Neurospora crassa OR74A: one gene and its partner. Each later gene encodes a partner of the first gene's protein in a complex. Links are inferred from orthologs where the notes say so. Each region holds a gene or a part of one and is shown on either strand. Other genes may lie near its edges.

Evidence for each region.
Region 2: the proteins of NCU00725 (region 1) and NCU05959 are in contact, whole or in part, in a crystal structure (PDB 3ONL), measured with the Saccharomyces cerevisiae proteins. The link is inferred for Neurospora crassa OR74A from reciprocal best matches to the Saccharomyces cerevisiae genes ENT3 and VTI1. Residues at the interface, in NP_012659.1 of Saccharomyces cerevisiae: Asp53, Ser56, Gln57, Thr59, Tyr60, Asn61, Phe62, Glu64, Arg65, His100, Gly101, Ser102, Glu103, Arg104, Arg154, Arg157, Lys158, Arg161; in NP_013924.1 of Saccharomyces cerevisiae: Leu31, Asn35, Thr36, Leu38, Lys39, Glu42, Gln43, Gln45, Asp46, Asp50, Lys88, Gln92, Leu94, Val95, Asp96.

What each region holds. Positions count from the first base shown.
Region 1 is NC_026501.1:7,404,891-7,409,423, forward strand, and holds NCU00725 (epsin-3), read left to right. Parts: upstream 1-1,722; 5' UTR 1,723-1,947; coding exon 1,948-2,029; intron 2,030-2,105; coding exon 2,106-2,137; intron 2,138-2,243; coding exon 2,244-2,323; intron 2,324-2,391; coding exon 2,392-3,763; 3' UTR 3,764-4,059; downstream 4,060-4,533. Other genes in the region: csr-1 (peptidyl-prolyl cis-trans isomerase), read right to left, coding at 140-207, 302-441. UniProt on the Saccharomyces cerevisiae protein: Involved in the recruitment of clathrin to the Golgi network and endosomes to form clathrin coated vesicles. Plays a role in the trafficking of clathrin between the Golgi network and endosomes.
Region 2 is NC_026506.1:3,311,252-3,315,095, reverse strand, and holds NCU05959 (vesicle transport V-SNARE protein VTI1), read left to right. Parts: upstream 1-1,593; 5' UTR 1,594-1,910; coding exon 1,911-2,310; intron 2,311-2,386; coding exon 2,387-2,585; intron 2,586-2,661; coding exon 2,662-2,749; 3' UTR 2,750-3,159; downstream 3,160-3,844. UniProt on the Saccharomyces cerevisiae protein: t-SNARE found in various SNARE complexes involved in multiple transport pathways. The composition of the t-SNARE complexes is specific for a limited number of v-SNAREs and therefore allows only the vesicles carrying the matching v-SNARE to fuse.

The DNA of each region.
Region 1 (4,533 bases):
CTTGCGGGCTGCGGCAACACCGGGACGACGCCGTGCTCATTGCGAACAACGACAGACGTCCAGGTGAAGTCCCAGCGACCGTCGCAAGTTTCCTGAGCCTGATTGATGAAGACAAAGCAGATGAGGAGAGTAGACTTACCCTTGATTTCGCTGGTGGGCTTGTTGTTGGGGCCGAGGACGGGACCCTCCCACTCGAGATCGAAGAAACTAAAGCATGCAGGTCAGTCGGTGTCCCTGAAGCTACGGGTAGGTAGGCGCAGCTCCCATGTTTGCGCGGACCTGGAGAAGCGGCTGGACTTACACCTTGGACATGATGCTGGATGTTTGCGAAAAAGCTCTGGCGCAGGAGAAAGTTGCAGTGGGCTTGAGAGATGACGAGAAAGTCGAGGAGACGAGAGAACCTGTTGTCTTAAGGACAGAGAAATGGCGGGGTCCAAACATTTTCACTAAAATGGAAAGGAGGGGTCAGCCAATCCGAGAAGTGGGGGGCGGAGAAGGTACGTAGCTGCTCGCCACGTGATTGATTGTTGCGACTCGAGCTGTCGGCCTGTCGCCACGCCGCCTGTTTCGGTCTCGTTTGCCAGTGCGGCGGGAGACGACGAAACAGCAGGTCAGCTTGACAACGTGGAGTGGTATGAGCCTCTGCAAGTGTCATCTTTGGCGCATGTGGGCTTCGGATTGGTTCGTTGGCTCAGGAACACCAGTACGAACAAGTAAACAGCTGCCATCTGGTGTTGGCGCTTCCCCCCCGAGTCTCCAAGGTCCCGTCGGCCCTGACGCTGACGGCAATGACAATCAAAACTGCCACCACCCGTGTGTGTATAGTTGGCAGCTAAAGCGCTGGCAAGAGCTATCCAAAGACATCCGGGCCAAAGGACCGTAGACCCATGGCTCCATCATATGGCTTGTTGGGTCTTCATAGCGTTGCGATTGCCTCTTTCATTTGGAGTCCCCCTCTGTCAATGCAGCCATTGACGACATTGCGGAGCCATGGACGATACCCCAAGCCGAACAAGAGGGATGGACGGCATTAACGACCTTGATGGCCATGTCTGGGGTAGGGACCAAAAGGCGGTGGTGGTATTGTCAAACTAACAAACCTCACCCCTCATCTCGAGCGTGGATGGAAAAAAGGACATTCGAATTGAATCTGATGCCAAGAAATCCCGGGAATGGAAGCTCTCAGAGCTCTGCCACAGATAGAGCTTGGAGCTTTGGGCAAGCTCCCAGCCGGCAGGGAGAGCTCCTCTAGACAGAAAAGGCTCAAGAAGAACATGGCAACAAAAGTAAAAATGATAACGTACCGGTTGTGGAAGATGAAATCCTGGATGATTGTAGGATGATAATGAAGCTAAAAGTACAAGGTAAAGTCCGAACAAACGAACGATGGAAATCTGCTACACGGCGATGGATGCACAACAAAGACCTGAGACGAGAGGGAGAACGGAGTCGGGTCGGGTGTTTAACAATTTTTACTCCATCCAAAATGCATGGAAGCGAGCTCCGGCGGCCGAGCGTCCCCTCCCGCCGCCCCGCGTTGTCGGCCGGCCCGGCAATTACAAGCAGAATTCTTGCCTGAAAACTCAGGCTTCAAAGAGCTGAGACGCTCGTGCCAAGCTTTCAAAGTCTTGGCAGACCTCCTGGGTTCCACTGGCTTCTTGGTGTCAGGGTGTTGGGTCAAGCGCAGGGGTCGGCCTTGGACGGCGTCAGTTGAGGTCAGCGCTCAGCGGCACCCTGACGCTAGGCCACCTCAATGTCCATCTGATCCCGACAAGACCGTGAAACGTCGCCCTGAAAGCGATCAGCCCGAACAAAAACCACCAAGTCGCCACAGCATCCCGCCCGTCTGGCAATCATCACCGCGAGGCTCAGATTGGATCTAGAGAAGAATTACCTTAGCCCATCAGAACAATTCCCAGCAACTCCGGCGATAGACACGTTTACGCAATGGATTTCAATAGCCTCAAGGATACCGTGTCCAACCTGACACTCTACGACATCAAGGCTGGCGTACGAAAGGTTCAAAATGGTAGGTGACCACCTAGTCCAGAACCAAGACTCCCTCATGATTTCGTGTTCAGGGTGCTGACAATGGCTCCAACCAGCTGTCATGAACTATACCGAGATGGAGTCCAAGGTATGCCCGTATCCACGCGCCACACTGGCACCATTCTCTTGCGCCCTTCGCCATATACTTGATCCCAGACAAGAGACCATGGAACGGGAGCTGACAGCGAACCCAGGTGCGCGAGGCCACCAACAATGAACCTTGGGGTGCATCGTCGACTTTGATGCAAGAGATCGCCGATGGCACCTTCAACTAGTACGTTCTCGAGAACTGCTCGCTTGTATACGAACGCGGCTAACTTGCGTTTCCCTCCTTGTTCTTAGCCAAACACTCAACGAAATCATGCCCATGATTTACCGCCGTTTCACAGAAAAGTCCGCCGAAGAATGGCGCCAGATCTACAAGGCCCTTCAACTACTAGAGTACCTGATTAAGCACGGTTCCGAACGAGTGGTGGACGATGCTCGGTCGCATCTTACCCTCCTCAAGATGCTGCGCCAGTTCCATTTTATCGACCAGAACGGCAAAGACCAGGGTATCAACGTCCGCAACCGCGCCAAGGAACTCGCCGAGCTCCTCAGCGATGTCGAGCGTATCCGAGCAGAGCGCAAGAAGGCCCGCGCAAACAAGGGCAAGTTCACGGGCATTTCGGGTGGAATGAGCTTCTCCAGCGGGAGCAGCGGACGTTATGGCGGTTTCGGCAACACTTCGTATGGCGGTAGCAGCAGTGGTGGCGGTGGTAGCAGCTCTACCTACGGTGGCTATTCTGGAGGAGTTTATGGCGACGGAGGTGTTTTTGGTGGCCAGCCTTCCAACAACGACTACCGCGGGACCCAGGCACGGGCAGAGCAGTTTGAGGAATACGATGCAGGTGATTTGGACGCTGAGGCGTCGTCTCGTACCGCGCCAAGGACACCACGATCCACGACAGAAAGAGCCGGGGTCAAGAAAACAACAGCACCCGCCGAGCCGCCCAAGAAAAAGGAGCCCGAGATCGACTTGTTTTCCTTCGACGAGCCCGCAGCGCCATCCATCCCGACCGCGCCCCTCGCTGCCGCACCTTCCAACGGCTCTGGGCTTGCGGCTCTAGCCGGCGGCGCCAAAGACGACGACGACGAGTTCGATGATTTCCAGTCTGCAGCCCCCGCCACGCAGCCTGCTTCTGCAATTTCTCCCCCAATCGCCCCCCTCTCTACTGGCACACAGTTTGTTGCCCCGCAACCAGTTTCGGCGCCTCAGCAGGCCAACCTTAGCGGCATGGTTGCCCTCTCCTCCATCTCTCCTCCTCCCAGCTCCACGGCGACTCCTGCTGCCAACTTCTCGGCTTTCTCCACGCCCCTTTCGCCCGTCTCCCAGGCTCCCAAGCCAACTGGCTTCCAAGCCGGTCAGCCAAACTACTTTTCCCCGGTACAGCTGCAGACCCAGTCCACCGGGTCCTCGCTTTCAGGAACCAAGGCAACCGGTTCAGCTGCCTCCAAGCCAGCCGCTGGCGGTGACGCCTTCGGTGCGCTGTGGTCGCAGGCTAGTGCTGGAATCAAGAAGAGCACGCCTACCACCAAGGGTCCGGCTATCGGACAACTGGCCAAAGAGAAGAGTAGTGCTGGTATTTGGGGAACTCCTGCGCCCTCCACTCCGACCAGCGGTAGCAGGCCCACCACTGGCGGCAACCACGGGTTGGACGATCTGCTCGGTTAATTACCTGACTGGGTGTGAGGAGTTTTCCAAGGAGTATTTAGAACCGCTGTCGTCTACTTACGGAAGCGGGATCCTTGGAGTAGATCAAGGGTGTGCAGTTACACAAAGAGGAGATGAGCAGTTAAACGATTTATATTCCACGTAATGTTATTGGAGGTAGGGGTGGGTATCTTGCAGCGCCTCTCGTCTGCAACAAAATTTCACGTCTATTTATGCTGCATTCGGCTTCTTTGTGTTTGTCACGTTTTGTTTCCGCGTGCGAGTCCCTCAAAGAGTGAACTGATCCGTAACTTAAGTCCCCGTATACACTCATCCTCACCTTCACAATTCCAGAAGACCCAAGCCGGCTGTTGAGTCGCTCATGGTCAAGTAACCCGATGTTGCGGTCGATCTGTTGTTTTATCTTGTGGAATTCGCATAGCTTCCATCCCTGATGTTCGTTTGATGGAACTTTTACCACTGAAGCTCCTTGCCTTCTTTATTGGCTTCACTTCTGGCCCGTTATGAACTGGTGAACCCCCTCAACCCCCCCCCCCCCCCCCCCCCCCCCCCCCCTTTTCCGTCTGTCTTTATTTTTCTGGCATATCAGCCTCCTCGAATGGTTTGAACAACCGTAAGGCTGGAGCATCATCCCAACATGCAGTCCATCAACATGAGCTAGAATACTTCATCCAATAGTGAGTTCATGGATCGCAAAGTATGTGTCCAGTGACTCAAGCCTCCGCACTCGCCCTCGGCTCGGTATGACGGCGCAAGGCCAGCCTCGAACA
Region 2 (3,844 bases), on another chromosome or scaffold:
GTGTGTGGAAGGATGTCAAGAGAGAAACCAAACAAATCAAGGGGGACCTGGGCAGACTCGGAGTGGCAGGGGAGGGAGCACCAACAAAGTGGATGACCAATTGGCGTCCGACTGTCACCGTGTCTTGGCCTCACCCCTCTGACTGACGGGGTCCAAGCCGTGGCCGAGCTGCGAGGAGCTCCAAGAGGTTTGGAAACGGTGGTGTTGCTGTGCCAGTGGCCGGTCACGACACCCGCGGCGCCCAAAGAAGAAAAAAAGCGACGGCGGAAGCGCACGGCAGATCCTGCTAGATCCTGGTAAAGGTAAGCGGGCAGGGGACTGGCCAAGCCCTGAGCTAGCCTGGCCAAATTAAAAAAGATGGGGCCAATTCGGTGCCGATGGTGGATGACGGTGGACGCCGGCAACGGTGAGTCGCTGAAATCGGCCGCCGATGTGTCAAAACCGTCGGACGTTGGCGTGGGCTTTTTCCTTCGGCGGCGGCGGCGGCGGTACGTAACTCGATCCTGGTGAATGTCGCCAACACTCTCCACTAGCCAAGCGATGATGTATTCCAGCGAATCCTATGGCGTGCCGAGAGTGGATCAGCCTGACAAACCTTCGAATGAAGAACCTCGCAGCGAATTCTCGAATTGTGACCGGGGTCGCTGATTTGTCCGTTGGTGATGGATGTTTTGTGGTGGAGGTTTAGTCAGACGGGTCGGTATCGCTGGGCTGAAGCCTGGTGTTGCTGGACGACGAGCAACAGAGAGAGTGTATGAGTGCGTGTATGTGTGTAAGTAAGTGTGTGCCACGAGGCCGGACCAGATGGCCATGAGCAGTCCTGGTGTTTTGATGTCGGCGACGAAATCCGAATGTCATAGCTGACATATATATGATTTAACAGAAGGTGCAAATCTCGTGGCAATGTCGAGCAGCTACCTACTATTTGCGCCGCAAAACAACATTGCCGACCAATCCGACCCGACTGCCAGGAGAACATTTTCCCAAAGCATCGGTGGCGACAGACTACAAACCCAAAAAAGACTTGGAAAATTCAAGACACCAACCAGAAACAAAAGGCTGGCAATGTGTCCATTTTCTGGGGAAACCAGCCAAGGTTCGCGTCAAGCAGCCGTGACAGTGTCTAGGCAGTGTACACTATATTATCTTAGCATGTCTTGGGACGTGGCCGTTGACTGGACCTTCTAAGCGATATGTCCCCCAAAACAGTTCCCTTCCCTAGGTCGTCATCGGTCTCAATTCGTTGCTGGCTGGTGAAAGGTCAACTCAGTCATACAAAGAAACCAATTGAAGAGTTTCAAGACGCCAAAGTCCCCGGCAGTCCCAGGCGGGGTTGATACGTTCAACTGGACACGGTCCGTGTAAGTTACACTTTGCAAACAATACATACAGCGCTTGCGTACACGTACTGCAACAACACTGCAATACATGCGGCAACGCCAAGCATGTGTACGTCACCCGCCTAGGCTGCAACTGTAACCACTGTAACTGTATGTAACAAGCGGAATGTCATGTGCCCATGCTGGTCCGTGCCCACAGCTGCTGTCGTCTCCCGCCTGCGGCCTGCCTGCCTTTCAGTTCGCTTGTCAGGCTGCTGAGACGACCGCAACGACTAACGGGGCTCGAAGCACACTGGTGTCGCTGGCGACAGACAACATTCGACGACGACCACTACTCCTTGCGATCAGACCAACCACACGCCAGCCCAACCACATCTCGTCCAACGCGACCGCATCAACGACGCCCCTCTTTGGCATGATTAATGACGAATCTGAATAATTGAGAATAACGATACCCGCCGATAAACGAGCATCACCCCGATACGGCCAGCCCGACGACAGCACCCCCACACCTGCCCCGAACCCCAACCTCCACATCCGATAGCAACACATAACTCCATTGAATCCAAGATGGCCAACATTCTCGACAGCGAAGCCGGCACAGAGCTCTTCAAGCATTATGAGACGGAATACCAGCTGGTCCAGGCCGACCTGGTCCAGAAGCTCGACCAAATCTCGGAGCTGACGGGCGAGCCCAGGAAAGCCGCCCTCAGCACGGCCGAGCGCGCCCTGGAGGAGGCCGGCGAGCTGCTGGACCAGATGAACATGGAGAAGCAGAACGTGCCCAGCTCGTCGCGGACCGCCATCAACAAGCGACTGCGCGACTACCGAAGCGACGTGGACAAGTATCGTCGCAAGCTGCAGACGCTGGCGACGGACCGCAGCGCCCTGTTCGGCGGCAGATACACCGATAACCCGGGCTCTTCGAGTGGCGATAGGCATTTTGAGCAGAGGCAGCAGCTGCTATCTGGTGGGTGGTGGACAGAAGCACCTTATACATGGCAAGAAGAAACGGAATGCTGACTATTTCCCCCGAAACGTAAAAGGCACCGACCGGCTCGATCGGAGCACACAACGCCTCAAGGCCAGTCAGGCGCTGGCCGCCGAGACAGAGGCTATTGGCGCCAGCACCCTGGCCGACCTGCACCGCCAACGCGAAGTCATTGAGCACACCACCACGATACTATACGAGAGTGAAGGCTATGTGGACCGAAGTGTCAAGACACTAAAGGGCATGGCACGCAGGTACCACCCTCCCCTTTTGTCCCAATGCGAATCATGATGATTAGGTAATACTGACCACTTGCGCCTTTACCATTAGGATGGCTACGAATCGGATAATCACCATTGCGATCATCACCGTGCTGGTCCTCCTTATCATTGCGGTTATCGTTAGCAAGTTCAGGTGATTGTGTCGAGAGAGCTGAGCGAATCCATAAAGAAGCAATACAACATCAGGTAGAACAGGCAGGGGTGTTCAGTGACATCACGATATATACGAACAGGTGGTGGATGGTTTGGACTGTACCGATGGAGCGTTTGTTATAACAGAGACATGTTCCAGTTCCATGTTTTTCGTATCGTAGGGATGGTATCGTACGGGGGGTTGTATTTTTACACAGACGGCGTCACAAAGGGAGGTGGTTTCGAAATTTAGACGTATTTCTTTCTCATGACCATACGGCGGCCTTGCTTCCATGGACGTTCCGACATCCGACAGGGGAAAACGGCTCGCCATGTCCACCACAACTCGCCGCCACATGGGTAGCGGATCGTTCTCTATGATTTCAAATGATTCTCCTCTGAGACATAGTATCCCTGACTTTGGTCGGTGTTGACCGGGGCCTTGGTTAAAACAAATTTTCTGTTGGCCACTGTTGTTTGAATGATTTGCGTTCACCACACCTCTGCTGGGATGTGACTTGGTAGCTTGGTAGTTCTACAAGAAACAGAGAGCGAGCCTTCGACAAAGTCGCTATTTCTTGTGCCCAAATTAAGCTTCTTTGCCACCCTGAAGAACCGTGGTGTACTGTGTATATCCCAGCAAGAACTGTGTCTTGGTAACTCATGTACACTACAGGCCTATTACAAATGAGTAGACTAAGAAATTTTCCATGTGATGGAAACACGCATCACTGCAAATCACGTCAAGTCATCTTCTTCGAGATACTTTCGTTGTTGTTAACATTTGCATATAACCCCACTTTCACAGATACGCAGTACATAACGGACCCTCAGACCTTCCACAGCTCCAGTTGAACTTTAGGCGGTGAAAAAAAAGAAGTCCACCGGACTGATGTTCCGCAGCTCAAGCTGCAGCTGGATGGAGATCGCCGGTCTCTCCCCGGCAGCCTTCCACTCGTCTCCATTTTCACCTGCAATTCTTCACTTCAAGATGGAGTCACAAGACAGAAACACCAAAACCGCTTACGGAGCGGACTTGACTTTTGGCGAGGGGAGTTCCTTAGGTATGTAGGTATGGAGTCGTCGTCGTCGGGTCCCAT